4 linked regions of the Diceros bicornis minor genome follow. The protein of the gene in region 4 purifies or fractionates together with the protein of the main gene of each other region. This does not show direct contact. Links are inferred from orthologs where the notes say so. Each region holds a gene or a part of one and is shown on either strand. Other genes may lie near its edges. The genes, in order: MET, FN1, ITGA4 and LGALS1.

Region 1 (7,140 bases), on a different chromosome or scaffold from region 4:
ATTAAATATGTGTGATGTCCCCTTAATAATTATGGATCTTGGTTCAGTTTCTATGTGTGATATTTATCTGTATATCTAGATTTTAAACTCTTCAAGGGCAGAGATTTCATTTCTTCCTTTTAAAAAATGTTCCCCTAGTACCAAACACATAGAACGCTCAACATACAGTTCTTAGCTATTTTTGGTGAGGCGAATGTGGGCCTGGCAGCAACTGAGTGTCTGTTAAGAACAGAGAATCAAAGTGATCCTGAGTTGACATCAGTCAGTATACCTACCATTTATTACTAAGAGGTGACTATTTTGCAATGAGCAAAGCCCTTGGAGAAACTCTGCCCTGAAGGCTCAGAGTCAAAGACACCAGTTTCAACATACACCAGGGAAGTAAAGGAGGTTACATGCCCAGCCCTTGAGCTTCCGCATATTTTCAATCCCCTTAAGGTGGCACAATTAAGAAATTCGGGATTCCATGAACAAACACAGAATATTATGGATGGTGGGAAAAGAAAGCATAGACAGTCTGGTGAGAAGCATTAAGCCTAATGACAGCGAAGAAACCATGAAATTGGAGTGGAGAAAAGCATAGAAGGGCTTGGAAGCAGCTCTGACCAAACCAAGGGAAAGGGATGAGGAGGAAGGGGGCAGAGAGACCGGAGCTACTCTGAACGTGCAGGGAGCTGTGTACACACCATGGGTGTGTCACCATAGGCACTGGTGCAGCCACTTAGAGAACAGTGTGCGTCCTGAGAGGATGTTAGACCTTTTGAGTTATTCACTTTGTTTTGAGATGACCACATTTGAGAAAAAGTTTGTTTGAGGCTATTATACCCATTTGTAAAAGGAAAATTAGACTAATGCTATTTTGGACTATTTTTTAGACTAATGCTATTTTGGACTATTTTTTAATCAACAGCTAAGGAAATTGATTTTTGAAATGTATTTCTTAATCTAACCCTCATTAAAACAAATTTTTTTAAAATTTCAAGATTATAGTGGGACATACACATACAGTCTTAAAGGAATTTATAAGAGTATTTCCCCCACTTAGAAAAGTAACATTTTTCTTTTATTGTAGGTTTAAAAGTCATGAAAATACTAGTTACGAGCTTTCATAGTGACCGGCTGTGGTTCATCTTGCACATCTTTATCATTCAGATAAACCTTATCCACTAATTCTGAAGGCACGGAGTGTACATCTAATGTAAACCTCTACTGCAAGTATTAAGAACAAAGCAATCTTAGAAAAAGCAGTAGTCAGCAGATCATCTTCTATATGCCATAAATTCCATCATATTAAAATCAAAATATACTTAGGTTAATAACTACAGGCTTATGCACTGTCAAGTTCGAAACGAACAGAATTTTTAAAACACCAGTATATTTTATAGGCAATCAGACACAAAAAATTTTGGTACAACAAAAAATTTCTTATGAGTGATGTAAATTTCACCTGTCTTATTCAGCAACCCAAAAAGAATGAACACTGAATACACCACAGGCTTTTGCAGTCTATGACTGGAACCAAAGCATCTCAGCTCTGTTCCATTACGGACGGTTACATGTTAAAACAAAGCCCAGTAAGCTCAGAGCTGGAAAGGAAAGCTATGCACCTGTAAATAATCTGAGCACCACTTACAGTTTACATAAAAGCACAATTTATGTCCCAGTAGCAAAGAGAAACATGATGTACACCATTTTCAGATCATCCTCATGCAGAAAAAATTCATTAGTCAGCTATAATAGTTTAGCTGTAAAGGAAAATAATGTTTTTCTGAATCCATTTGCATGGCAATGTGCATGTGTCTGGCTGATGAAAATGACAGGAGAAACCTCCACCCAACTCTACACAACGTTAACAGTCTTCTTAAAATTCAGGAGAGGGTCCAGATAGTCTATATTCTCTCCAACGTCAGTTTTTACAATCCTCTCACATTCATCGACCATCTTGAACTTGGCAATTAAAGTATCCTGATTATTTTGCCTAAGAGAGTTGACAATATTTCATTCTGCCCCAAGGCTCCTTTGAAGATAAAATTGTTAAATTGTAAAATACACTGGGCAACTATTCATGTGTGAGCCACTGCAACCCTCTCCAACTGTCAAATTAGTAAATGACTCTTTTAAAACATAAAAGGTATGAAATGGGAAACCGTACTTGGGAGTAAATTCTGCATTGGCAATAGCTGGTGAAAATACTTTGGTTGGTGCTTTAATTACTGGGTCAGTACCAGTACAAGCCAGACTGCCGACCGCTGGTTATAATCTATTTCACCTAATAAGATAGATGTCCTCCACAGAGTCCCAGCCAAGAGAGAAGGTACGATTGAAAATGATGGATCACAAAGCCCTGTGTATTTGCTAGAAATGAAGAATTCAGACCTTCACAGAAACACCTGCCCCTTGGAAGGACCCCCACCCACTAATACAGATAAAGCAGGGTTGGGAACAAGGAACAAGGAAACCGCTCTGCGGCTCAAACCTTGCCGGCTGCATCACCCTGGGACTGGGTGACCGGATCCCCTTTGTAAGGGCTGAGTCAGATCACAGCCTTGAAACTTGCCCGGCCATAACAGTCATACATCACCCTCTCCTCTGACTGGCTGTGGTTTAATCTTGTCATCTGTGTACATCTTTATCATTCAGACAAACCTTATCCACTAATTCTGAAAGCACAGAGTGTACATCTAATGTAAACCCCTGTTGCAATGTATTGCGCCCCTCTCTCTCCTGAGTCATACAGGTGGCCGTCAGAAGCAACCCCCTAAAACGAAAAGCCCCATTCTAGTTTCGACTCCCCCCTGGCCACAGTCCTTCAGTTTCTGAAGCCCCTAAACTCTCGCCCACCTCCCCGGTCTCGTCCTCTGGAACAGCAGTCAGGTCTCTTAGGGGAACAAAGAGAGGAGAAGCGCTGGGGCCAGGGGTGGGTACGGGATCTGAAGCGGACTGCAGTTTTACCTTGCGGCGCCCAGGACCCGGCGGAGGAGAAGTCAGCCGCGCTGGGACCACCGGCGCGCTCCGCGCCTCCCCGCAGCAAGTCAGCTGTCGCCCCGCATCTGGCTCGCGCCCTCCGCTGGGCTCTGCATCTGGTCACAAAGCGCTCGGGGCTCGGGGCGCTGCGGGCGGCGAGAACCTCCGGGTCACCTGCCTCCGGGCCCAGCCGAGCGCCCCGTCGGCTCGCCGACCGCGCTCCCTCCGCCCCTCCCCACCCGCGCGCTGCCCGGCCCGTGACTCAGCCGGGCATCGGCGCGCGCGGCCCGGGCGCGTCCAGGCGGGAGGCACGGCCAGGCGACCCGACCGCGGCGCTCGCCCGCCCGCCCCAGCACGTGTCTGTCTGTCTCGCGCACTGTCCGTCCGCTGCGTCCGCCGGTCCGAGGACCGCTGAGGTGGGGACTGGCACCACCCAGAGGGGGAAATCGGCCCCCGCCCTTCCTGCCGCCCGCGCGCCGCGCCTGGCCCCGCGGGGGTCGCGTTTCCTCCCGCCCCGCCCACGGCAAGGTGAAACTTTCTAGGTGGAGAAGTTTCCTCGCCCTGGCTGCGCGCTCTCTCCTCCCCCAGCTCGGGGAGTTTGAAGTTTGCAGCACCGGAGATAAGCGGCACCGAGTCTCCCCCTCCTGGTGCTCGCGCGGCGAGCGTCCCCCGGCGCGCCCCCTCCGCGCTCCCCCGCGCGCGGCCGGCGGGAAAAGCGCGAGGCTCTGCCCGGAGCCTCTCCCGCGGCTCCGCCGGCCGCCGGGCGCTGCCCGGCGGGGAGGACGGTTAGGGCGCCGCGGAAACAAGGCATTCATTGTCCAGGCGGAGGTGGGAGTGGGTGGACGAACTGTCCCAAGGATATCGTTATGCAACCATTATCCTCTACTATAATAACTCGGATTTCTGGAAGGAAGAACAACACAGGAGTTGAACCCTGATGAAACTTCACTATCACTTTTTTTTTTTTTTTGTAGCAGGAAACAGGCTGATTAAATAACTAGGCAAACATCAAGGAACAAGCAAAACAGAACAAAAGTTTAATTCTTGAATGTTGAAATCTTACGATTTTTTTTTTAAAAAAAAAAAGGGTGTTAGGGCCTTGGTGAGTTGTATCAGGATAACTTTTTATATCTCACATGTCTGAATATAAAAATTGACATTAACCTTCAAGAGAAAATAAACACTCAAAGGTAACAGGATCTAAGGAAGAGCGTTGCCTATTAGGACTTAGCATTCTCCTCTCTGGCTCTGGGAAGGGCTTGTCAGATAGTGGCATCTGGTAGTTATTGACAGTCATGGGACAAAACGACATTGACTGTGTAGGTTCAGGAATTATTTACTACAGAATGAAAAATAGGAAAATATAGTAAGAACAGTTACCGTTTTCCTGAGAGCTTACTATGTGCCAGGCGCTTTACCCGGGACTACACAGAGCCGTTTCCATCCTCAAATGTGATTACCTCATGATTCCCCAATTTTATGGAAAAGGAAAGTTCCCGTTACATAATACTGTGCTAGAACTCTGCATTGAACCATTTTGCAGATGAGGAAACTCAGTGCCTGAGAGTTCCTGTGAGGGTCACACAGCTGGTTAGTAGAAGAGGAGAGGTTAGAACCCAGCTCTCAAATCCCAGTCAGGTGTTCTTCACAACATGCCAAGAGGCCACAGCCTGGGAAGGCTAAATAAACAACACAGCCCTACTGAAGATTTCCTAATATCACATGGTGTAATTTAACAATGACTAGGGTTCATATTAAAATGCTAATTGACTGGTTGGAGGGCCCTGGGCCTATTTATGGACAGGTCAATTATAGTTTTGGGGTTCAGTACCAACTTCCAATAAAAGGTGAATAAACTAATGAATTTACACACACACACACACATAATTAGTCATAGTTGTCCAAAGGAATGGTTAGAGTGCTGATTCTGTTTCCTGGTTTCCATAGCAATATGTTAACTGGATTTTTAGATTGCATTATGTAGTTGCCTTAACAGGTTTTCTGAGTTTGAGTGCCATGATAAAAATATAAAAGAAAAAAATTACAATTAAAGTGGTAGAAAGACCCAGAAAATCCAGTACAAACTGGAAAATAAAATAGATTATAAATCCAAATAACCTATTATATATTTTCAGCACTGGTTTCCTAGTTTCTAGTTACTGACAAATTTCAGTCCAATTTTGAAACTTATTAAGAATTGTCATTTTGATTTATTAATTATAAATAAGGAGATAATATTTTATAAAAATAACATAACTAAGAATAGCATAACTAAAAGTAACTGAGTGTATGAAAATCAAATAATTAGTTTTTACGCACTACCTAGATAGGTTTGATCCAGAAAAGAGTTAAAAGTAATTTCACATATTTGGAAAAGGAAAGAAGCAAAAAAAGAAAAAAAAAAAGGTCATAGGAGTTCTACAATTCAATTTTGGTTTTGTGGCCAACTTTAATTGTTGCTGTTTAACTTCCCTTGGATCCATGGCATGGGTGACACACTGTATGATGAAGTTCGGTTGGTATTTTCCTAACCAAACCAAACCCCTGTGGCCAACATTGTTGGCTGGCTAAGCCAGCACCTGTTCCCAACCAGATATTCCCTTGCCTGCCTCCACTCTTATAGCTGGAAAGGAGAAATACTTGCTTTCTCAGACTCCTTTGCAACCAGACATGACCATGTGATGTCATTCTGGTGATGAGTTAAGCTGAGGTCTATTGGGGACTTCTGGAAAAGAGTTTAGTTTCCCTAATAAGCTGGTGCCACCCCTTCTCACTTCTTGCGTTCTTGATTTCATATATAATGCTCAGCAAAGAGCTAGCCATCTTGCAACCATGAGGAGAAAAGTTGGACTCTGACACTGCTGAGCGACAGCACCAATGCCAGTAGACACCTGCTTCCAGATTTTGTTTTGTAGAAAAATACTTGTTCCAGACACTGTTAGCTGGGATTTCTGTCGTCTGTGGCCAAAAGCATTCAAAACTGATATACCCCTCAAATGAGGAGCAAGACATCTCCACGTGTAGCATAGCAGTTAAAGGTGTGGATTTTAGAACCAGACAGCCTGGATTTCAAGCCCAGTTCTGCTGCTTGCTAGCTATGTAACTATAGGCCAGTGGCTTAAACTCTCTGTGCCTTATCTGTAAAATGGAGATGATAATAGGATTATTGTGAGGATGAAATGAGGAGCTATAAGTAAAGCACATAGAATAGTGTCTGGTAAAATATAAGTGCTTGAAAGACATGAGCTATCCTTATCTACACACTTGTGGATGACATAGTGCTCAACTATAAGCAAGATCCCATCTCTTAACCCTGAGATGGCCTAATGGTAGCCATGGTCAAAGGGGAGAGGAGCAGCAGTGTCTCGCTCTAAATATGCCACATCCTTTCTGCTCTCCCTGCAACACATTAAAATTGGGATCTTTGAAGGTACTCTAAGTTTGTTCACATGTTACTGTTTTTGAAACGAAAGAAATCTTCTTAGCACAGGGGCTTCATGCTGGCAACCTGTAGAGACTTGCCTAGGCCCACAGAATGTTTTTTAAAAGTTTGAATTGCAATAGACAGAACATATGTTCTGCAGTTTGCCATCATCCCATCTTCTCTTGTAATGCATCCCGCCTACCTCTGATCTTGACGTCACTTTCTCCTGTAGGTGTTAGGATTTGTGACCCCTGTCTTAGAGTATTTATTCTTGGATTCTCTCGCTCTACTCTCTTCCCTTCCCTTGCCCCGTTGCCCCTATTAGTGTGCCTGTGGAAAAGGTCTCCACAGAAGGACAAGAAGAATTATTCAGGTGCTGGTTCCTCAAATCATTTCTGTGGGCAAATACAATTTGGGGATATAGGACTCTTCTTACCCTTTTTAGAGATACATCATGCACATTAGAATATTGAAGATTCTGAAAAATCACAGGGAAAAACAAAACAGAACAAAGCTAAACCGAAAATATGCCTTTTTTTCCTCATAACATCTTCAGTAGCCATTTTCCGTAAAATTAGTTTAATAGGTAACATGCTTTGGGAAACCTTGTCTTAAAGAATGCCAGCTACAAAGGGTTAGAATGAGGCTCTTGCAATATGAACTACTTTTATGTTGATTTGTATTGGTCATTTGCTTGTGGCTGGGCTCTCTAAAAATAAAACATGCAATGTTAAGTTATCTAAAAATATGAC
Region 2 (7,963 bases), on a different chromosome or scaffold from region 4:
GTCCTTTAGCCAATTGCTTTGCACATACTTTCATTCCGGAGGGAGTTCATTAAGTGATACCACAATTTCTACAAGGCTGGTGGTTCAGAAATCGTCATTCTAGTTAGTTTTCTAAGCCTTGTACCCTCATCTATGAGAGAGAGAAGTTGAGAGTTATTTACCTCAGAGGATTGTTGATGGTTGAATGAAAAAATGCACTTAGTACTTAGAATATAAAGCACTTAGTACTAGGTCTAGCTCAGAGTAAGTGCTTGATAAAATCTAACTATTTAACTGTATTTCTCTTCAGGTACTGAAATCTTTATGACCTGGATCACACACTTAAGCTTGCCTTAGCTTTTCATGTTTAACATAGTAATGGTTTTAAATGTCTATTCCATCTCAGTAATATTTTCATAGCTAATGAGAGAATATATCAAATTTATCTAGATAAGAGTTCAACATACAGTTAGAGATAAATTCGATTATATTTATACATGCATGTTTATAATTCAGTTAAATATAATACGAATATCCAGTTGAATACAAGTTAATTTATTATAACTAATTAATCAATCAAAAGGCTACTATTGACCACCTATATCACAATAGCCTATTGTTGGCATAACAGTTTACTTAAGAGATAATGTTTATGGTTATTTTTAAGCATCTGACACAATCTTCATGATAAGCTGCATATGAGACACTGAAATTGTGTGAATGTAAAAAGGATAGAACATAATTTAAACACTGGAAATCTTTCAAGTTTTTTAAAATTTTTTTTCAGCCTTTCAAAACAAACCTTTAAAGCCAACAACATAAAATAAAGCAAAATTAGAAAAAGGAGCAAAACACAAAAATAAAATTTTTCCTAGAAAGTGCTACCTATCTTGGAAAGCTGGAAAGGTCTAGAACACAGTTTTGGTGAAGTGTTCCAGCTACACAGTAGTTAGTTTCATTTTACTGGATGAATTAGAGTCCTTTGCAAAGCCTTTTGGGAGTTATGTCACTCTAATGAGAAAAGAATACTCCTGTTAAAAAACAAGGGGCGTAGATTAAGGCTCTCGAAAGTGCTGATTAAATCATAAAGTAACTCAAATATAAACAAAATGCTTATTAAGTGAAAACTGGCTAGACATCAAGGCATAAATTAAAGCTGTTATCAAGTATTTTTTCCCTGGTTTCAGGAGCCCAGTCAATTCTAGACAAACTGCCCAGACATTCTACCCATGAGGGCTGCCGGTGGCGGGGGGGGGGGGAGTTTTTTTTTTCTCATACCTGTGCTTAATGAGTAGCAGTTTTGCAAGCTTGGCTGTTTTCAAGGGAAGAAGATGGGAAGGATTTCATGCCAAAAAAATAAAGTCAAGATAAGAAACAAAACTACTGTAATTTATCTCCATCCAACCTACCTACTGAGACCATGCAATAGAACAAGACACTACAGGCTCTTAAGGTCGAAAGTCCAAAGGTCACTTAGTCAATGGCCTCCCCTCTAACAGGACTGAAAGAGATTAAGAACAGGATAAAAGCTAAAGGTTTTCAGGAAAACCAGCCCACTTTCGTCTAAATGTAACCCTCAGGGTCAAGAAGTTATTTCTTATCAGGGATAAGATTTTTTTCAATAGGCAAGGGATTTGGCTAGGGAGGGGTATTGTCTGTAATGTGTGTTTTACTCCTAAAGGAAACCCATTTTTCACTTGGAAAAAAATTGCCTTTTAAAACTTATCCCTTAAATTGTTTTAATTTCAATCCTCTTTAGATGACTGGATCTGATAAATTCTTTTTGTGCTTAACCATAATCTTCAGCTCAAGTGAAGACAGTTCAATTCAGATTTCTGTAATTTCTCATTCTCATTAACTTCTCCAAGAACAAAACATCCAAATAACACCCCCACTCCCAATATACACAAATATATGTGCTCCTTCTTGTTAATGAAATTTAACTTGTCTTAAATTTTGGAAAAATCCTATTGCTATGGCAATTCCAAGAAAAAACAAGGCACAGTCCTAGATGCAGATTTGTTCTCTCTCCACCACATACATGCCATCACACAAATACTAGGTTGGGTAAGGAGTTACTGGTATAGAAGAAAGATCCACTACTGTGTTAAAGGCAAACTTCCTCTTAGAAAAATGAGGAAATGAAGACACCTTGTGTATGCTGCAGCCACTTGGGAGCAAGCCCTTGGAACAAAATAAGCAGGTGATACAAATCAAAAAGAATAAAGAAATACCACCTTATAATCAATTTTTTAAAAACAATTTTATTGAGGTATAATTTACATACCATAAAATCCTCCCATTTTAAGTGTACAACTCAATGATTTTTAGTAACTTTACCAGGTTGTGCAGCCACCACCACAATCTAGTTTAGAACATTTATTTCCATCACCCCAGGAAGATTTCTTGTGCCCATTTACAGTTAAGTCCTGTTCCCAGCCCCAGGCACCTGGGAATCTACTTTTTGTCTCTTTTGTCATGTTTCCCTCTCCAAATAAAGATAAGAAAAAGAAATCCAAGGATATTTCCTACAAGTAAAAGGCTACTGTTTACTTAGGAACCCACTCTGCCAAATAGTCTTCAGGATTCTTGGACACTAGGCAAGCCAGTTGAGTCGGAACAGAGTCATCGTGGTCTTTAAGATTTAATTCTCTCTGCAGGTCGAGAAAATAGTCTTACACAGTTACAAGGAATTTTGATAATGAAAGAATACTGTCGCAAGCCTTCTCATCTTAACTAAGAAAATGTTTCCATCTCCACACTTTGAAAAAACTTTCAAGTAAGAGGGTAAACTTCGAAGCATTCCTAAGAAATTCAGTCAAATATTATTATCTTTTTGCTTATGAGACACTAGAGATATAACATTTCCTTAAATTATATTTCAATGAGATTGAAATATAAAAGTTTCTTCTGAAATGTAAGGTGAGCTTTTTTCCTCCAAGTTCTCATAGGTATTTATCCTAATGTATTTTGAGTACAGTAAATATATCAAACTTTCATGTTTTTGGTTGGGAAAATACTTTTGTAACCACTTATTTCCTTCCCCCAGAATCTATGTATTTGAAGAAAGCTTTAGCTCCAGGTTTATCTTGCTTACATCCTGATTTCCAGGTATCCTTGCCTGTGGAAGGAACACTCAGCTTCCCAGAAATTTACTAAGAATTTTACAAGGGGCCCTTTTATATGTGAAAGAGAAAACTGTTTTGTCAAGCGAGGATGAGAAATTTAAAAAAAACTGTAACCCAGACGGGACTCTAAATTTGGGGAAATCCGTGGCACTCTTTCAACTTGAAATGTTGCTCACAAAGATTCCTCAAGAAGTTATTTTACACTGCATGTAGGAAACTGATATTTGCTGTGGGTTTTTTTTGTTTGTTTGTTTTAATTCCCTGCATTAATAAAAACACATGTTAGTTTTGTATCTTTAATGTGTCAGGCATTTTATAGACTCTAGAGTTCGAATTACCCCAGGGCAGTTACTGAAGGTGGAACTTTTGGAGAAAAGCACTTGCAGAAATAAACATTTTGCTAGTAGCTTTCGTAAGTTCTCGAAGCAAACAGGAGGTCTGCCCTACTAACATAAATCGAAGGCAAAGCTTTGAGTTTGCTTCTCTCAGGAGTTACTGAAGAAAGTTGTGGACTCCTTTTAAATATCTTTAAAAGCAAGTGTGACTTGTGTTTGCCTGAAAAAAGGCTAATGTGACGAGTTGCTAAATGCTAGAGACTTCTCATATTCCCTTTCGACCTTCTGAGTTTAGAGGGAAAGCGGGAGAAATCTTAAATGGGAACTTTACACGTTCTTGGAGTTAGTAACGATTGAAATATTAAAAATCTGGCAGCGGGGCTGGGGGAGGGGGATTCTGTGATGAAACTGATGTCTACCAAAAAAAATGCCAAATAAACGCAAGAAAGGGGCTGCAGGAAGGCAAGACTGTATACGGTCTGTCTCAGTTTTTAGTGAGTCACACAGGATCTCTGCATTGTGTGTAACGGGCATGGTGAACAGGGACAACGACTTGAAGATCTTTCTCTCTCCACGGACTGTCCAACTTCCCAGTTTCCCAGTCCACGACTGACTTCACTTTCAGTGGAAATAGACGTCCCATTCCCAGGAAAGGAAGACTTTCCTGCATGTTCAAAAAAGCAAACTGCCGCTCTGTCCTTTCAAGAGAAACCCCAGAAACCCCGTTCTCTGAACTTTCCCCAGATCCGCCAAGCGCCCCGCAGAACTCCTGGTATTTAGTAGAAGCTCATTAAAGGTTGGTTTTTCTCCTCTGCCCCCCAGCTAGCACTTCCTCAGAACCGGGCAGGTACAGCGTGTAGAAGGAGAAAAGTCTGGAACAGGGAGCTGTGAAGGCAAAGAAAGTGAGTCCCAAGTCAGTGCACATTGGACCAAAGAGAGGGAATGGGAGAAAAGCCAGCCCCGCCCCGGGACTGCCAAGTCTACATTCCTACAGCTGCAAGGTGGTGGCTCCTTTATGGTTTTCCTTCCCCCAAAATACACTCCAGTGAGCTGAGATTTTTGTTGAGATGACGCAATGTCCTCAAACCCCCCTCCACCTCAAGAAAAAAGAAAAGGGAGCGGGGGGAGGAGGGGAAGACTTGCAACCCCTTCGCTTCGCCCAACTGCAGCCCCTCCCTTTCCTCCCAGTCTACCCCTTTCCAGCCGCTTCCCATCCCTCCGCCCTCAGCCCCCAAAAAGTTTGACGACCGCAAAGGAAACCGAAAAAAAAGTGGTCTTGCCCCGGTCCTGGCGGGCGATCAGCATCTCTTTTGTTCGCGGCGAACCCGCAGTCCCCCTGACGTCACCCGGGGCCCGGCCAATCGGCGCGCGGGCGGCGGCGGCGGGAGGAGGTGGGGGCCGGGCCGGCGCCCCCCCCCCCGGCGCCCGGCCTCGCGGGGGGCGGGAGGGGACCGGCCCATATAAACCGCGGCCCTCGGGGCTCGGCCGCCCGCGCCGGCTGCGCTGTGCAGGGGGGGAGAGGGAGCCCCGGGCGCGAGCGAGGAGGGGACGTGCAGCCACGACTTCTCTCGTCCTCTCCTTCCCCTCTGTCCCTCTGCGCGGCCCCGGCCCCATCCTCCGGCCCCTGCCCTCTCCGAGCCACTGGAAGGGACTCCTCCCGCAGGTTGCGAAGGGAACCCAACTTGGTGGCAACTTGCCTCTTGGTGAGGGCGTCTCTCCCTGCACCGTCTCAAGATGCTCAGGGGTCCGGGGCCCCGGCTGCTGCTGCTGGCCGTGCTGTCCCTGGGGACGGCGGTGCCCTCCACCGGAGCCGCGAAGAGCAGGAGGCAGGCTCAGCAAATCGTTCAGCCCCCGTCCCCGGTGGCTGTCAGCCAAACCAAGCGTGAGTACCGAGCGCGGGCTGAAACGGGCTGTGGCACGGAGGGGACCGTAGAGGCGACCAAAGTTGTGGCTGAAGTTTGCGCGCGCGCGTGTGTGGAGTGTGTGCACGCCTTCAGGAGAGAAATCGGCTGTGGATACAAAAGGCTCTTGGTTTGAGCCGGCTGGTTCTGAATGCATTGGAGGACAGGGGCTCTGCGATGTCCTGCAGGGCTCTCATCAGCTACACGTTCAGGTCGTCCTCCTGTGATTCATCAAAACTTGCCTTTAAAGCGAAAAATGCTGTATGCCTTTGAATTTTCCAATTGGAATCAGCGTGGTCCTTATGCTTCTTATTTTCTTTGTTACTAAATAACTGGTCAAATATTTTCAAAACCAGGGAAGAGGGTAGCTAGATAGCTATGTGGTTCCTAAGTAGCTTGAAAGAGATGTAATTGGTTCAGATTGTTCAGGGGCCCCTCAGGATACTTCTCCAAGAACAGAGATTGGAATTCCTCTTCCAGTTTTTTGAAGACACACCCTCCCTATGCCTTGGCTAAAGGAAACTGCTTCAAGTTGTCCTTTAAAGAGCACTGAAGTTCCTTGCATGTTTTAAGATGTAATTCCAGTTAACTGCTTTTCAAAATGTTCCACTCCTTTGATGTAGACCCCTGGCCAGATGGAAGTGACATCATTGTATAACATTTAGCTAAGTTAAACCGGGGAAAAAAAAGGAATACCTAAATGTGTACGTGTACAAGTTGTGGTTAACTCTTTAGATAGCTTGTTTCTATATCTATATACTAGTGGAATATTACTTTTAATTCTCCTGGTGCTCTATGATTAACTTATTTTTCTGTTTGTTGCTTAGGCTCATCAATTTAATTGTACAAGCAAATTCCATAATTTGGAAAAAGGGGGAATGCAAATGTAATATGATTTTCCTTCAATTATTTACAGCTGGTTGTTACGACAATGGGAAACACTATCAGATAAACCAACAGTGGGAGCGCACCTACCTGGGCAATGCCTTGGTTTGTACCTGTTACGGAGGGAGCCGAGGCTTTAACTGCGAGAGTAAACCGGAGCGTAAGTGGTGGCGAGCCTGGTAGTTAGTATCTTTTAATAGATGGAGAAGTGGTGCTTATTAATTAAACTTAACATTAGTAGTAAAAATGCATACACCATTTTCCCAGTAGAATTGTATGTCATTTCCTCTTTAAAAGTGTTTAATAACTGCTTATATTTGCTTTTCACATGTTCCTTTTACCTTTAAAACAAAAGAATAAATGTATCCCAAAGTAGTTCCTAGAGTCTTCTTTTTGTTTTACTCTCCCAAAATTTTTGTTGAGAAAATGAAAGATTTTGTGTGTTCTCCTTCAAAAAAATTGCTTATAAAATTTTAATTATTAGAAAGTAATCTCAAATCTTAAACTGTAAGATTCTGAGCCAGAAAACACTTTGGGTACTCTATTGTAAAGTGACTTGTCACACAAAACCACTAACCACTTCAAAGTTCTCATTCCTTTATGACCATTGATGTGTTTCTTGTAAATTATAGCACATCCTGCGGAGAAGCCCTGAGGAGGCTAAAATGGAAAGAGTAGGATTAGCAAGTGACCAGGCTTGGTGGGAGGTGGGGCTCTTCAAACTGTTTGCTTTTTGTGTGGACCTTCGTTTGACTTTCTGAGTCAGAGACCAGAATCTGAACCATAATCTAGACCATAATCTAGCCTGTCCGAAGGGAGTATGTTATATGGCTTTTTTCTAAGGGCCTGAGAATCCTATACAGTAGAAATTAATGTACAGATAATTAGAGAACTTGTCAAAGCTCAAAAACTAAGGCTTTATTAGAGCCTAGGATAATATCCAGAACTCTCACTTCAATTTTTTATAACTTTCCGTTGTCCCATACTACTCCTGGAATGGAAAAGTGGGTTTTCCTTTGGATGGGATTAGTGGAATAGGATAACTTGTACGTATGTGAGGCTCACATGGACTTGCCTTCTCCCCTCAGCTGAAGAGACTTGCTTTGACAAGTACACTGGAAACACCTACCGGGTGGGCGACACTTATGAGCGCCCGAAAGACTCCATGATCTGGGACTGTACCTGCATCGGGGCTGGGCGAGGGAGAATCAGCTGCACCATTGCAAGTAAGAAAGACGTTCTGTGAAACGACACTGAGATGCCATAAATGGGGATTTCTCTATTACCGTCCCTGTCACTTTCTATTATCCGTGACTGGATATTCCTAACTTTGGGTGGCCAGATACTCAACGTGGTCACCCAGCTGGTTCCTGTGTTTCTGGCAGATGGCTCTGAGCACAGGTGGAATCAGTGTTTAGTCTGTGTGGATTTATGAGTGTGTGTGTATGTACATAGTGTAACCAAGTGGATCTCCTGGGTTCCATTCCAGTAAGACGTGCTTAGAGGAGCTGCCCATTTTACATTACCTGGGCATCAAGCCAGGGTGATCATGTGGTTATCTGCAGTGATTGGGAAGATGGTTATGAAGAGTGACTTCGCCCTTGTGTGGTCTGCTCTTCTTGTTTGCAATGCAGAGACCTCTTGCATCTCACAGAAACGGTGGGGTTTCATTGTGACCAATAGTTTATACCTGGAAGCAGATCTCGCTATTCCCGGAGATAATATGGAATAATTA
Region 3 (7,452 bases), on a different chromosome or scaffold from region 4:
TCTTATGTTTCAACCAGTTGATGGACTAGAAATCTTGTTTTCCTTTTTGCCTTTCATCTCAGTAAATACCTTTTTTATTGACCAAAAATTTGAAAGTTAAAAAAAATCACTTTGGCTTGCTATTTCTAATTAGTTCTTTTATTCACCCTTCAGGCTAATGACAATCAAACTTTCACTTTGCTTGTATTCATTTATCCAATAAATCTTCACTTAATTCATGTTTGTTGCACATCTACCATGCTCACATTTCTCTGAGGATATTTCTGTAGTCAATCTCTGTGCTCCACATGCCCAAAGAATTTAGGTTTTCCTTCACTTTTGACAGGCACAATTATCTTAAATTTTATATAATATTATGACATGATCTTTCCAGTTAAATACAGACACCTAGAAATTGATTCAGTGCCCTTCCAGACAGGGAGTAGAGGCTAAATAACAGTAGTTATAATGTCAGGGATAGGAAACTATGACAGGACAACAGAAATGAAATTTTTCCCTCTGGAGATCTCATCAAGATCCTCTGGCAGAACAAAGTTGTCTGCTCCCCTCCCTAATTCTTCATCCCACAACCCTCCCATGCAATGTAAATTATGCTTTGCAGAATTATTCTAAATGGATAGGTCTGAGAACATGTTGTGCTTTCCTAGTCTGTCTTTTGGGATGGAAGACGCTTAATGAGAGACTGGGGCTTATTCTACATGCTACAGACAACTCCTAGACTTTTATGGATGCTCTCTGAGTTAAAAATAAAAATTCCATTATGTGCATACTCTATTTGAATTCATTCTAAATGAAGAGAACCAGCTTCCCAGTTTGAGAAGAAGCAAAGACTACTTTGTAAAAAGAAAAAGGGGATAAAGATGCAATTACTAGCTAATCTCAAAAGTCCATTGATAGCAAAGATAAATATGAAAAAAGTACCAATTGTGACCTCCTATTCACAATTTACAGATGACTCATCAGCTCAGCAGACAACATATTGGACTCTTCATTTAATTTTATTTGCATTGAAAATGCATACATGAGGGGAAAGGACTTGGACTATAGACCCAAGGGGACCTGACTTTGACTTGGGATACCATCTTCCACTCACTAGCTGAGTAACTTCAGAAAACGTACTTGCAACTCTCTGAGTCACAGAGTCCTCACGTGGGGCAGGAACAATGCCAATCATGACCCAGTGGTGCTTTGAGGGAAAAAAACTTAAGCAATAAAACAGTGTCTGGAACAAGATAGGTCTGAATTGACATTAGTTCCATTTCCCGTTCCACTCCCCCGACCCCCCCAGTGTCTGAGAGAAGCAAATTTGCTTTTGCTTTAGCTTTGAAACATGAACTTTCCCCCCTCCCCCATCAGAACACATTTTTCAAACTGTCACAAATCTAAGAAGAGGCACTAAGAAATGACTGTGAATAGAGGTATCATTTAACATGAGAGTTTTGGGACAGGAAAATTAATAATTATACCTTAAGCCTCACTATAATTCTAGTAACAATGGAGATGCCAATTTTTCCTTTGTGCTCGTTTTTTACATTTCATATTCTAAGTAAAGCTATATCATTTTCTTTTTTAGAAAGCTCTTAGGCTAAATGACAGGATGTGGGATCAATTCCAACTGCTAGTCCTGATCTGCCCCTTAGCCTGTTCTTCAACAAGGTTAATAGGTCAAAGATGGAAATAAAATTCTTAAGTCTTGGTTTAGCTGGATCCTGTCCTTAATGTGCTGAGAGACTTTAAAACGTGTTTTACACACGGGAGGAGAGAGGAAGAGGCGATAGACAATGTATCGTAAGGAACTTTCCTCTACATAGTTTTGTCAGGGTACTGCAATCATTGTCATAAGCAAAAGGGAGAAAAATGTTGACAGAAAGAAGGAAGCCACTTTTATGTTAAGAAGGAAAGATGGGGTGGAGTTAAGAGTGAAAATCATTCGCTTTAGACTAGAAGTAACAGGCAACTTGAGGTCTTCCAGGACTTGTGCTACGGTGGGGTCCACAAGTGGGAGGTCATTCATTCCTGGTCCCAGACCCAACTCACCCAGCTGGAGCTGTTCGCACGTTCGGTCTGGATTCTTTCCGATCCGGCATCTGTAAATCGCCCCGGGATTGACCACAGAAGCGTTGGCAAGCCAGTTGGCCGTGGGCGCCCCCACCACGAGCCTAAAGCGAGAAATGTGCACGTGCGCGGAGACTTGAGCCGTGCTGCCCACTGAATTCTTGGTCTCAACAGACATGCAGCTGGCAGCGGGGCCGCTCCCTCACCTCCTCCTCCGCCCACCACCCCGCGCACCCAACCAGCCACCCGTAACTCGCAGCTCCAGGGCCTCGCGCCAGAACGCACCCCGGGCGCTGCTACCCCCAAGATAAGTTAGTTTCCAGAGCAGATCTCTGGCGAGCTGGCCGTCGCAGCACTCCCCTTCCGCCTCCTCCAGAGGGGGGAAAGTTTGAATCAGGCAGGGAATCCCTGAGGAGCCCTTCACACGCCGGCTGTGAGATGCCGAGAGCGCCCGAGTCCGACTCCACTCACCATCGGTTCGCCCCGTGGCTGTGCAGCACCACGGAGTAGCCGAACAGGGTGTTGGGGGGGCCCTGGTAGAGCAGCGCGTTCTCGGTGTCCAAGTTGTAGGGGCGCCCGGTCGGGACCCCCAGGCACAGCAGCAGCATCACCGCCTCCCGGACGGTGGCCCCTCGGGGGCCCAGCCCGCGCCTCGCTTCTCCAGCCATGCGCTCTCGGAGGGAAACATTCAACACCAAACGGCCACTGTCCCCAGTTGAGCGGGATGCGACGGTCGGCCAAGGGGAAGAACGCCCCAAGAGAAGAGGCGCAGCGTGTCCGGCGCCAGCCGGCGGGGGGGAAGGAGGGCGGGAGGAAGGGAGGGACGGAGGGAGGGAGGGGAAGTCTGGCCGCCGCGGGCGGGGCAATCGGGGGCTGCCTTGGATGCCGCCCGCCCTCTGTGCCCCACGCCTGGGTTCTGCAATCGGGAGGTGCGGGTGCTCGCGCGGTCCCGGGGCGCTGGCCGCTGGGTGGGGTCCCGGGCGTGGTGCGGAGTCGCAGGACCGGGCGCCGTCTGCCCCCGCGCACGGCTGTAGGGGGCGCTAGGGGACCTTGGCTGCTCGGGACGCGCATTCGGGCCGGGGCCTCCCAGCCCGCTGAGCGCGATGCTTCGGGGCTCCCGGGGCTTTGCAAGAGCGGAGCTGAAAGGGGCCCGGGGCTTCGCCTTTTAACTGTGGTTGCGGCCTGGATGCGGAGCGGCGTGGCCCCAACCCGACACCGCGCGCACCCCACTATGAGCGCAGAGGCTCCGCGGCCTGCCCGGCATGGCCCAAAGGCCAGCTACAAATCCGAGCACCGAGACTTCGGCGGGGAACCATCCGATCTTACGTTGATAATTAAGCGCTGTATCTGATTTTTGGGACGGAAGCAACCGCGAGAAACATTAACCGGGGGGGCACAAATTAAAAACAAACAAAAGGAACTCCCTGAGTTTCCCTGAGGAACATTTTGGTGACAAAGACCTTATGGCTATTCACTTCAAGACTCAGAGCCCTGCACCTTTCTATGCCCACTTCCTTCCTGCCTACACTTCCTCTTAAATCCAGGCTGCCCGCCTGAGGAGGCAGACCAGCCGCGCTCAGGCTGAATGGCACGCGGTTTAGGCCGTTGCTGGGTCCAACAGCGAGGCTGGGTTAAGGAAGCACTGTGACTCGCCTCATTTCAACGGATTCCTCTCTCAGGCTCTCAATGCTCCTCGTTTCCACACATCCACCCAGTTGCACCGGATACACCTGCCATCGGGGGTGTACACCCAGTGTGAGGTCAAGAGACAGACACCATAATCAGCCTCTGAAAATGCACTGGAGACCCACAGCACAATACACCTGACCTGGGCGATGATTCGCATCCTAATGAAATCCAGACGTGGCTCAGGTTGCTGTCTAGAACAACCAGAGAGACAGCCCTAGATGATTAGGCCAATATTTGCAGGAGATGCAGGTCCAGTTGTTAATTATTGCTATATGAAAACACAAAAGAAGAAAGAAAGAGGGTTCATCTAAGAATGTGTGTGTGTGCCTTAAAACGATACTGAAATAGCACGTCTTAAGCTGTAATGGCAGACACATAATTAAAATACTCATTTATTCAGCACATTCATTGAGCAGACACATTGCTAGGCCCACAGATTACCACAGTGAAGAAGGCAGGAGAAGCCTTCAGGAAAATTTTCACCCAAGTGGTAGAGAGACAAAGTTTTACTAACTAGAGAAAGTTCTGAATGTTTTAGCGACACTTAGAGATTTGAAGGACAAGGAGGGCTGAGTTAGGCTAAGCAGTTTGAGAGGAGGAGTGAGGTGTGGCTCAGCAGGGCCAGGTAGAGGAACTGGAAGAGGTGGTCTTGGTGGAGCATTGAGCTGCCCTCACATAGGTTAGCATGACAGGAGGCTGAGCAGGGAAGTAGGAACACATGGTGAACCTCTTAAGCCAGGTTAGGAATTTTTAACTCTATCCTGGGGCTGACAGGAAGCTGTTCAAGGATTTGTCTTGGTCAGCTGTGGGTTTTCAGAAGTGTGAAGAAAAGACTGAATACAGAAAACCTAATTTTGGAGGTTCCTGCAGTCATGAGCAGTGAGATGACGGTGGCTTGAACTAGCAAAGAGCAGAAGGGATAGAGGAAATATAGATTCAAGAGATATCTGAGAGATAGAACCCAACAGAACTCGGTGACAGTATTGGTAAATACCAATGAAGAGCTGAGATGAAGGAGTCAGGATGATGCCCAAGTTCCGAGTTTGGGATCTGGGTATATGTTGCTAATTCATAGAGAAAAACACACTGGAGGAATGAGGTTATGCATGCATGTGTGTGTGTGTGTGTGAATGTGTACAGATGGAGGGTACTGATGAATTAGGTTTTAGACAGGTGGAGTTTGAGATGTTTATGGAATATTCTAGCCAAACCCCACCCAATTATTTTTACTCTTTTGTCAACACACAAAACAGGAGGAAGGTAACCCTCTCATTATTTGCAACAAAGTAAAAGTCAGATAATGGTGTGTGATACATCTATTGTAAAAAGGAAATGGCTTCCAGAAAAGTAGCTATTGGGGCCCATGGGGAATGGTCCTGCTCTGTTTTTCCACTTAGGGTGTATTTCTTTCTGAGTAGATCTATGTGCTGATTTCAACCCAGTTCTACAACTCGAGCACATTGTCATCACTCTGAAACAAGCAATCCCTCTAGTTTGCAGCCACAAAATTTCCCGGTGAGGCCGGGGAAGCAGGTATATCAAGGCACTCCCACACCCTCCAGACTCTGACAATGTCAGAGCCACTGATTTGAAACCCTACCTCTTTCTTTCCCTCCCTTCACCAAGATCTTGTACAATGAAATCTACTCAACACAATTTTTCTCATAGCGTGATTAAGACGAGTAGCGGCCAGTAGCGCTCTTGATGGGGCAGGACCTTATTTCTACGATTGCAGTTATGGTTATGATTTCACCACCTTTCCAGAAACAGCCACCCTTTACTACCTCACATGCTGTGTTAGCCCTGAGCTTTCTTCCCTCAAGGCTTAGAGAACAATTCACTTTTCCTAAGTCCGTAAGAATAAAGGATGTTTAATGTTGCTTTCACAAAGCCTGAAGATACTGCTCTCTCTCTAGTCAATGCTTTTGTAGGCAAGTGTGACAACTGGGTGTGGGGCTGTGTGGCATGAAGGTGTAGAAGAGGAGGACTTTTAAAAGCTACTTATGCCTATGACTCACCCTCAACTGAACTTAAATATTCATTCAATTAATATGTGTCATTTGATTAATATACAGTCACGTGCCACATAATGACGTTTCAGTCAATGATGGATCACATATATAAGGGTGGTCTTTTAAGATTAGTACCATATAGTCTAGGTGTGTAGTCGGCTATACCATCTAGGTTGGTGTAAGTACACTCTATGATGTTCACGTGACGAAATTGCCTAACAATGTATTTCTCAGAGCATATCCCCGTCATTAAGTGACGCTCGACTATATATCAAGTGCCCACTATGTGCCAGGAGCTGCAAAAAGGACTCAAATAAGAATAAAAGACAAAACACAAGTGGCTTCTATCCTTGGTAGGAAGTTTTCCCCAGTAGAGAGGATTCTATTATGGGCTCACGCAACTTCTCAGTTGTTATCAAGAGTGAGCACTTCTCCTTCTTGAAAGCCTCTCTTCTCATGATAGTGCCTTTTTTGAGCTCCCCTCATTTTCTGTCTGGCCACCCTGAGTCTCCTTTGCTGGCTCTTTTTCTCCACCACAAGTGTTGGAAAGCCTGAGGTCTCCCTTCTGAGCCCTCTTTCCTTCTCTTTCCCTCCTCCCTCTTTAGGAGATCTAACCCATTTTCCGTGTCTTTAAATACTAGCTACATAATACCATTAGATACCACTGTGAGTAGCCAACCCATGTCTCCAGCCTTGACCTCTCTTCTGAGCTCCAGGTTCTTATGTTTCACTGCCTACCCGATGTCTCTACTTGGATGTCTAGTGGGCACTGTGCACATAACATATCTAACACTGAGTTCTGGTTTCCTTACCTGCGACTAAACTATGTCTCCACCCAATCTCTCACTTTCCAGAAAATAGCGCTCTATCTGCCCAGTTGTTCAGATCAGATATTTGGGGAAAAATCCTTGATCTTTCCTCCCCCTATTCCCCATATTTAATCCATCAATCATTAAGTTCTATCAATTTGACCCCCAGAATATATCTCAAGATCACCTATTTATCTTCTTCTGTCCTGCTACCACCCTCTTCCAAGGGCAGTAATCTTGTCTGGGCTGTTCAACAATCTGCTACCTACTCATCCCTCGCCCACACCATCAATTTTCTACACAGAAGCTAAAGTGAACTTTTAAATTCTAAATCAAATCATGCATGCCCCTCCCTCCCTTGAATCCTTTAAATAGTTTCCCATTTGCTCTTCCCATACAGACCACACTTAACGTGGCCTGCAAGGACTCTACGATCTGGCCTCTGACTGCTTTGCCTGTTCACCATTGACCACTTCCCCCAGGATCACTTTGCTTTAGCCGCATCGGCCTTGCTTGATTTTCTCAAGTGCATCAAGATTTTGTCACCCTCGGGGCCTTTGCCCATCTTGTTCCCTCTGCCTGGACACACCTCTGACTTTTCCCATGCTTCCTCTCTTCAGTCGCACCTTAAAGGTCTCCTCCTCACAGAGGATTTTCCTGCCCATCCACTTAAAATGGGTCACCATATTGTTCTCTCACAAACAATCCTGTTCATTCTCTTCAGAGCTCTTTAATGTATAATCATATATGTATTCACTTTTTCATTGTGTCTTCCTCTCTAGAATACAAGAGCAGAACACATGGGTTATGTTGTAGCTGTCGTTCACCACTATATCTCCAGCACCTGATATGCTGCCTGGCACACAGCAGGTGCTCAATAAGTATTT
Region 4 (7,093 bases):
GCAGGGGCGACGGCGGCAGGTCACGGGCCCTCCCCGAGCCCTTTCCTCACGCGGCCCTGACCACAGCCCCACTTCACGGGTGAGCTGCTGAGGCTGGGAGAGGGGACAACACTCAGTGGGATCACACAGCAGGTGAGGGGGGAGACAGGAGGGGAGAGGGGGGAAAGGTGGGGAGGGCAGGGTGGGACCTAGGTCTCTGGCCACTAAACCCAGCCCCGCCCCAGTCCCCGCAGCACCCTGCCCCTGGCCCCCAGCCCCAGCCCACCTCCACGACACTCCCGGGCTGGAAGGGGAAGGCCGACTCCCGCTGCTCGGCGCCCCAGGCCCCGCCATCCCTGCTGTTACACACGATGGTGTTGGTGTCCCCGTGCATGTTGAAGCGAGGGTTGAAGTGCAGGCACAGGTTGTCGTTGTCTTTGCCCAGGTTCAGCGCAAAGCTAGGGGCAACAGGTGGGATTGAGGCCTCCTCAGCCCGCTGCAGCCCCCGCGGTCGGCACCGCTCGGTACCCCACTAATACTCCTAGCCAGGAGGACTCCCTTAGCGGGGAGGAGGAAACCTGGATTCTAGTTCTGGCCCTGCCACCTCCTTGTTGTGTGACCTTGAGCAAGTCCCTGCTCCTCTCTGGGTCTCAGTTTCCTCTGCACAATGGGGGCTGCACAAGGCGGCCCTCTTAGAGTCTTGCTGGGCTGACAGCCAAGGCTCTCACAAACATTAGTTTGTGTCCCAGCCCTTTGGGTCAAGGTCGGAGACTCCCTCTAGATGGTGACCTCCGGGAGGGCAAGTGTCCTGTCTGTCCTGTATATCTCTGTACCCCTGGTGCCCGGCATGATGCACGACACACAGTAGGTGCTCAATAACCGTGAGGCAGCGAATGAACAAATAATACTTAATAATACATGTGCCGGGTGGAGATAAGAGCCACGCCCAGCTCCGATGGCTTCCTAAGAATCATATGAACAGCGCACAGGGGGTGTGCAGCTCTTTATCGCGTTATCGGGGTCATCAGCACAGTTATTGAGAAACCCAGCATCTCACTTCCTCTACACAACCACCTCTTGCCCCACTAACTGATTAACACCCAGGATCGGTGTGGTCGGGTGACTGATCCAAGGTCACATGGTTGCTGCTGAATTAATGATGGGTGAAGGAAGGACGAAGGAATGAAAGGTTGAGTGAGTGAGGAACGCAGGAGAGAGGGACCTCAGAGGAGAGCAGGGAGTGACACCCTCCCATCCCCTCTTCCTGTCCCCCGCAGCCTCAGGTCCCGCCCACAGCGGGGGCCGGGGGCCGGGGGGGGGGGGGGGCAGCCAAGGTAGGTGAGGCCGCAGCTGGTTTAGTTTAAGAGGCTCCAGCTGGAGGGAAGGGGGCGACAATGGTGCCCGCGGAGGAATGGTCCAGACCCCGCGGAGGAAGTGACTCATCTGGACAAAGCAGCCTCAGCGGCCGCCGGCTTTAACCCCTTCCCCCTAGGGAGGAGCGAGGCCTGGCGGGCCACGCACCTACCAGATGCGGGGCAGGGCCCTCGGGCTCCGATCCCCCGCCGCCCTGCCTTCGCCCCCTCACCTCTTGGCGTCGGGGGTCACCTCGCCCCGCACTCTGATGCACTCCCCGGGTTTGAGATTCAGGTTGCTGGCGACCAGACCCTGCGCAGACAAGACCACGCCCAGCCGGTCAGAAGACCCTGTCCGGGGTGGGGTGGGGTGGGGCGGAGGTCGTCCCCACCCTGGATCCTCTGACCAGGCCAGCTGGAAGCCTGGAGAACCCGGGTGGCAGTTCTAGCCTCTCTTTCTCTGTGTGGCCCTGGGCAAGTGCCTATTCCTAACCGGGTCGGTTTCCTGTGTGTAACACAACTGAGGTTCTAGAAGCCAAGATCTAGAACTTTGTGCGGTTCAGCTTGGGGATTTTGGATTCAGAGTGGCCTAGGGTGCTATGCCCCATCGCCTCACTTAACAGATGGAGAGAAACCAGATTCAGGGTGAGTCACACTGCGAGTTGGTGGCAAAGCAAGGTAAACGAAGGGGTCTGCTCCTCTGCTGGAGAAGAAGAGGCCTGCAGCTGGGGGATCCCCAACCAGCCCCTTGGAGCCGGCTCCTCTGTGCAGAGAGGTGCAGGGGCTGGGGAGGAGACCCCTAAGGAGCTCTGCACCCTCTGCAGAAGGGGAGAGCCGCCAAGAGCTGGAGTCTGCAGCCTGGCTGGCTCAGGGTTAACAAGATTGAGCCCTGAGCTTAATCAGTGCGAGTGGTTCCTTCTGCCAGAAATTTGAACTCTTTCCCTTGGGGCCTGGAAGATTCTTGCCTCCTTCTCTCTCCCTTAGCTCCTGACCTCCCAGCTTGTGGGAGTGGGTGGTGGGGAATTCCCCCAGCCTTCGCCTGACCGGCCTGGACAGAACCACCCTCCACCCACTAACCCAGGCAGGCCCCCTCCCAGACAGCCTCTCAGATCCTGGCGACTTTTCAGAGCTCTCTAGAGCAGAGGGTGACTCTGCCCTGGCTGGTAACTGGGGACAGCTGCAGGGGGGAGGGGACAGGAGGCTCTTTGGAGTGGAGGAGGAGGGGGAAGGAACAGTGGCCTGGGAGTCATCAAAGTGCCCCCCCCCCAGTTGGCCACACCCTTCCCACTCCCATTTCTCAGAGAGCTGCAGAATGTCAGACCTTGGCAGAAAAAACTGTGCTGTCAGACCCTGGAGGAATCAGAAAATTCTTAAGCCAGAGAAGGCCTTGGGGGACCATGGCGCCCACCCCCATTTTACAGATGCGGCCACTGGGCCCAGAAAAGAAAAGGTACTTGCTCAGGACCACACCGTGGGGACTAGAACCCAGATCCTGATCTGCCCCCACTCTCCCCTGGCTGTCTGCCTCCACCATCCCTGGGCCTTGGGGCGAGGTCCCCACACTCACGCAAGCCATGACTGAGGACTCGAGGATGTTCCTGGGGACTGCGGCACCAGCTGTCTGAAGACTCCACCCGAGAGATGGGCCCTGGGCGGCTCTCGCCCTTTTAACTGGTCCAGACCCTGGTGAGCCCCGCCCCTTGGAAGCTCAGCCAATTGTAAGTCAGGAAAGGGATGGGGGCCACTGGAGGCGGAGTCAATGGAATTCTGAAGCCGGTTCTGGAGCAGAGGTGACCAATCAGAGTGGACACCCCCCCACTCCTTCTTAGTCACTCCTCCAGGGTCCAGGCTCCACCTCCCGTTCTCCTCCATCCCTCCCTACCCCCCCATAAATTGTGCTGTGGTGGGGATTGGGGGAAGCCAATGGAAAATAGTTTGAGGATGAGCTAGGCCCAGGAGTTGGCGGGAAGGGGCCCTGGGGCCAGCAGGCTGAGCTCAGGGGGTACCCAGAGAAGATGGCTGAGGGGGTGCAGGGTCCTTCAGGGAATTCGAGCTGGGGCTCCTGAGGCTGCCCCTGGCAGGGACCAGGGCGTGGCCCGCTCTGCAGACCTCTGCAGAGGCCCAGGACCCATTAACCACAAGGCCCCACCCTGGCCTCCCCCGGAAGCAGGGCTCGTGTCTGCCGCTGTGCTGGGCCCGTGCCAGGCCTGAGGCGGCCGCCAGACTTGGGACTCAGGCCTCGGGCTTCAGCACTTCTGAGGGGCTGGTTGGGGATCCTCCAAGAGCCCCTGCCTGACAGCCTCTGACCTGTCTGAGAGGGTCAGGCCTGGGAGGGGACCCAGGGTGGGCCAGGCCAGGAGGGGTTGGGGGTCCCTGCTCTAGGCACCCCCTGCCCACTCTCCTCACATCTCTGCCTCCAAGGCCAGGCCTTTCCTTTCCCTAACCGGTTAGCAGATATTTTACTGGGCACCTACCGTGTGTCCTGGCCCTGAGCTGGCCTCAGAGGATTCCAAGATGAACCCCTCCCAGTCCCTGCTCAGGTAGCCCATTGCTGGGGCAGAATCTGGCCATGAAACTAACCAAGAACTGGTGTGATGCTGGCTCTAAGGGAAGTCATGAGCAAGCACCACGGTGGGGTGGAGACTGTCCAGAATGTGAAGAAGGCGAGTCTTGAAGGATGAGTGCAGAAGGAGAGACTGGCGTTCCAGCATGGGCAAAGGCTCAGAAATGAGAAAGCACGGGTCTAGGGACTGTGAGCATCGGGGCATGGCTGGAGTTCAGGGTGTGCTGGGGAAAGATGGGGCATGAGGCTGGGAGGCCAGGAGTACCTGGATCATGAAGGGCCTCATTGAGGGGCTTGGACATTGTTTTATCTGAGGGTACTGGGGAACCACAGAAGGTTATAGGGAGGGTGAGTATTGAGGCCAGATTTGGGCTGCAGGGAAGATCAGTGTAGCAACAGAGTTGAAGGTGGGTCAGAGGGGTACTCACCTCGCACCCAGGAACCACTGGGGAGAGGGGCATGGGGAGCACTTGGCGAGGTAGGGGGCTTGCTAGGGGAGTTGTCAATGGGACCTCCTTCTCGTCATTGCCATCCCCCTTCTGAAACTGCCAGCACCGAAGAGGGAGGAAGATGCAGACCAGGAGTGACTCACATCTGGAGGCCAGGCCAGCAAACCAGCCTTGCCCTCCGCTGCCTCCCCAGCCCACCCTCCTCCCGAGGACTGAAGCCCACCCTGGCACAGGAGGAGTGGGGAGTGCACGGGGGGCCACGGGAAGGCCTGGGGAGGAGGCTGGGCCTCACCTCCTGCAAGCCCCTCCCCCCTCCTCCCTTCCCAGCGGGCTGCCTCAGAAACCAACTGTAGCTGCTTCACTTTTCCTCCAGGGCCCCCCCCAAACCTCAGCATAGGCAGGGGCAGGTGGGGCCAGCTCTGCTGCCTTTCCTCCGTGTTCCCCCTCCAAGGGCCCAGACACCCTCTCCATCTGATGGAGAAATGGCGGCATTTCAGCAGGAGTCCTGCCCGGGGACCAGAGGTGCTTCAGGCACAGTCCTCACCCAACTGCCATCAGGTGGGCCTGGCTGGCTGTTCCAGCCCAGAAGTGGGGCTCCCCCGGGGCCCCAAGAGCTGCTCCTCCATTCTTCCCCCAACCTGGAAGACTGGCCCAGCACCAGGAAGTGTTTGCTATTGGATGAGGGGCTGCTTTCTTCCCCTCCAGGGTCCGGCCAGCTGAGGGCTGGTAGAGAGGGGGCATGGCATTGTGAATAGGCCCCCTGGAAAGGCCCCTTTGGGAGTCTGGAGACTTGGATTCTGGTCCTGGCCCTGCCATGCCCTCCCCAGGGCATCCTGGCAAGTTGCCTCTCCCTGCTTGCCTCAGTCTCCCCATCTGTAAATTGGGGAGGTGAAACCCTGCTCTCCTGCACAAGGTTAGTACAGGGTGGAGTTCAGGTCTGTTGTACTCAATAGATGATTGTTTTTTCCACAGTCTTAGAAGGTTTTAGCCTCCCTCTTGTCTGTTTTCCCAGGCTCTCCCACCCTCACCTCATCCCCAACAGTCCCCTCCTGCCTAGGCTGGCAGAGAGTCTCTCCAGATTCTGGGTCCCCTATAACAAGGACTGTGGTTTTCCTGGGGGAGGCAGGGACAAGGTGCACTGTGACCCCACTCCCACCCCGTCCTCAGGGCCTCCTAGTGGTGGCGCCCACTTATCTGCCAGGCCCTGTGCCCGGCGCCGTGCTTTCATACATTATCTCATTTCCTCCTCACCTCCCCGCTGCTTCGTGTCTGCCAACTGGGTTGAACGTCTGCACAGGGAAGCTGTGCAGAAACGAAGCTGACGTTAGAATTGGGAGAAGAGAGGCGAGTCCTAATTTGGGGGTTGCCTGGCTGTGACTGTGGCCAAGGTCCTGGACTTCTCTGAACCGTTTCCAGGCCGGGGAATTGGGAATGTTACCCACTCACCAGCTGGTTGGAAGATTACAAGAGTGATGTGCGGGACTCAGCATTAGTTCTCTCTCCTGTACCCGCCAAGGCCAAGGCCCCCCACCCTGGGGACTCTCCTCCTCTCTCACCGCCCTGCAGCAGAGGCGGCGAGCTCTGTGGAATTCCTCTCTTCTACAGGCTGGTCCTGTGGGCTGGACCTTGGCTGCTGCCGTGAGAAACGAGCTCAGCTCGTTTGGACTGGGGATCCAGGCCCTTCCTAGCCTTCGTCCTCCTGCCCTGCCCGCTCCTGCTCTTTCTCTGTGAAGGCTGCGTCTCCTCCAGCTGGCAGTGGTGGGGAGGGCTGCCAGGCCCACGAGGATACCATCCGCAGCCCCCAGCCGACCTGGCTGGCCTGGCCTGGGAAGGTGGGGGTGATCAGAGCCAGCTCCAGAGTCCTAGAAGTCAGAGCAGGGAGGGACTGCAGAGATACTGCACCTGACCTGCTCCTTCATTTAATGACACAGAAACTAGCAGCAAGAGTGGCCACTTGGCCAAGGTCACACAGGGAGCTAGAGCTGAAGCCCTTTCATCTCCTAAGCCAGGGAAAGCACACTGTGGTCCTGGGGTACCTGGACCTCAAGAACGATCTTTTCTGGATCCTGCTCCATGAAGGGTAGGAAGGACTAGTGGGGGGTGCCCCCAACTTCAGGCACTTTTCCAGCTGGTTTGTGCGAGAGCCCGCCCCCACTTACCTGCTCATCCGTTCTCACCTCTGCCTTTGCTGGTGCTGTCCCCCCTGCCCAGACAGCCTCCTCCTCAAACACAGTGGACCTGTCACTCTCGCCCTCCCACCTGGTGTCTGTCCCCCTTCTGAATACAGGCCGCTGCTTGCCTTTGGGGACCCGCTCTTCCTCTCATATGAGGTCTGGGCGGGGTCCAGACTCTGTCATTCATTAGCCCTCCAGGGCTCAGGCATGAGTCCGTTCTGTTTTTTTTTTTTTAATATTTTCTTTTGAAATAATTATAGACTCACAGGAAACTAAGTGCTTTTTAAGAGCTTAGAAAATATTTGAGACCTGAGGAAAAAAATGTATTGGCTCCAAAATACTAAAATTGCAGAGCTGAAATTCATAAATGTTTACTGTGCTCCAACTTAAAACTTGGTAGTCATAAAAACTGTATTACATTCGAAAACAATTTTGTAGGTTGAATTTACTTACTTTGAAAGTGTCCCACGTATTCCTAGAGGTTGGTCACCCCTAAATTAGATCCCCACAGCCAAATAACGTCTAAAACAAAAGTATAAAAGTACCTTGAGGGGCTGGCCTGGTGGCGCAGCATCT

The links.
Region 1: the proteins of LGALS1 (region 4) and MET purify together in Homo sapiens (affinity purification with mass spectrometry; 3 studies listed by BioGRID and IntAct, with this or other methods). This does not show direct contact. The link is inferred for Diceros bicornis minor from reciprocal best matches to the Homo sapiens genes LGALS1 and MET.
Region 2: the proteins of LGALS1 (region 4) and FN1 purify together in Homo sapiens (affinity purification with mass spectrometry; 3 studies listed by BioGRID and IntAct, with this or other methods). This does not show direct contact. The link is inferred for Diceros bicornis minor from reciprocal best matches to the Homo sapiens genes LGALS1 and FN1.
Region 3: the proteins of LGALS1 (region 4) and ITGA4 purify together in Homo sapiens (affinity purification with mass spectrometry; 3 studies listed by BioGRID and IntAct, with this or other methods). This does not show direct contact. The link is inferred for Diceros bicornis minor from reciprocal best matches to the Homo sapiens genes LGALS1 and ITGA4.

Annotation. Positions count from the first base shown.
Region 1 is NC_080742.1:67,624,139-67,631,278, reverse strand, and holds the start of MET (hepatocyte growth factor receptor), read right to left. Parts: upstream 3,012-7,140; 5' UTR 2,953-3,011; intron 1-2,952. UniProt on the Homo sapiens protein: Receptor tyrosine kinase that transduces signals from the extracellular matrix into the cytoplasm by binding to hepatocyte growth factor/HGF ligand. Regulates many physiological processes including proliferation, scattering, morphogenesis and survival.
Region 2 is NC_080776.1:6,219,827-6,227,789, reverse strand, and holds the start of FN1 (fibronectin), read left to right. Parts: upstream 1-4,954; 5' UTR 4,955-5,176; coding exon 5,177-5,324; intron 5,325-6,259; coding exon 6,260-6,388; intron 6,389-7,316; coding exon 7,317-7,454; intron 7,455-7,963. UniProt on the Homo sapiens protein: Fibronectins bind cell surfaces and various compounds including collagen, fibrin, heparin, DNA, and actin. Fibronectins are involved in cell adhesion, cell motility, opsonization, wound healing, and maintenance of cell shape.
Region 3 is NC_080749.1:61,482,315-61,489,766, reverse strand, and holds the start of ITGA4 (integrin alpha-4), read right to left. Parts: upstream 3,003-7,452; 5' UTR 2,724-3,002; coding exon 2,527-2,723; intron 2,160-2,526; coding exon 2,038-2,159; intron 1-2,037. UniProt on the Homo sapiens protein: Integrins alpha-4/beta-1 (VLA-4) and alpha-4/beta-7 are receptors for fibronectin. They recognize one or more domains within the alternatively spliced CS-1 and CS-5 regions of fibronectin. They are also receptors for VCAM1.
Region 4 is NC_080764.1:12,074,373-12,081,465, forward strand, and holds the start of LGALS1 (galectin-1), read right to left. Parts: upstream 3,005-7,093; 5' UTR 2,908-3,004; coding exon 2,899-2,907; intron 1,645-2,898; coding exon 1,565-1,644; intron 438-1,564; coding exon 266-437; intron 1-265. UniProt on the Homo sapiens protein: Lectin that binds beta-galactoside and a wide array of complex carbohydrates. Plays a role in regulating apoptosis, cell proliferation and cell differentiation. Inhibits CD45 protein phosphatase activity and therefore the dephosphorylation of Lyn kinase.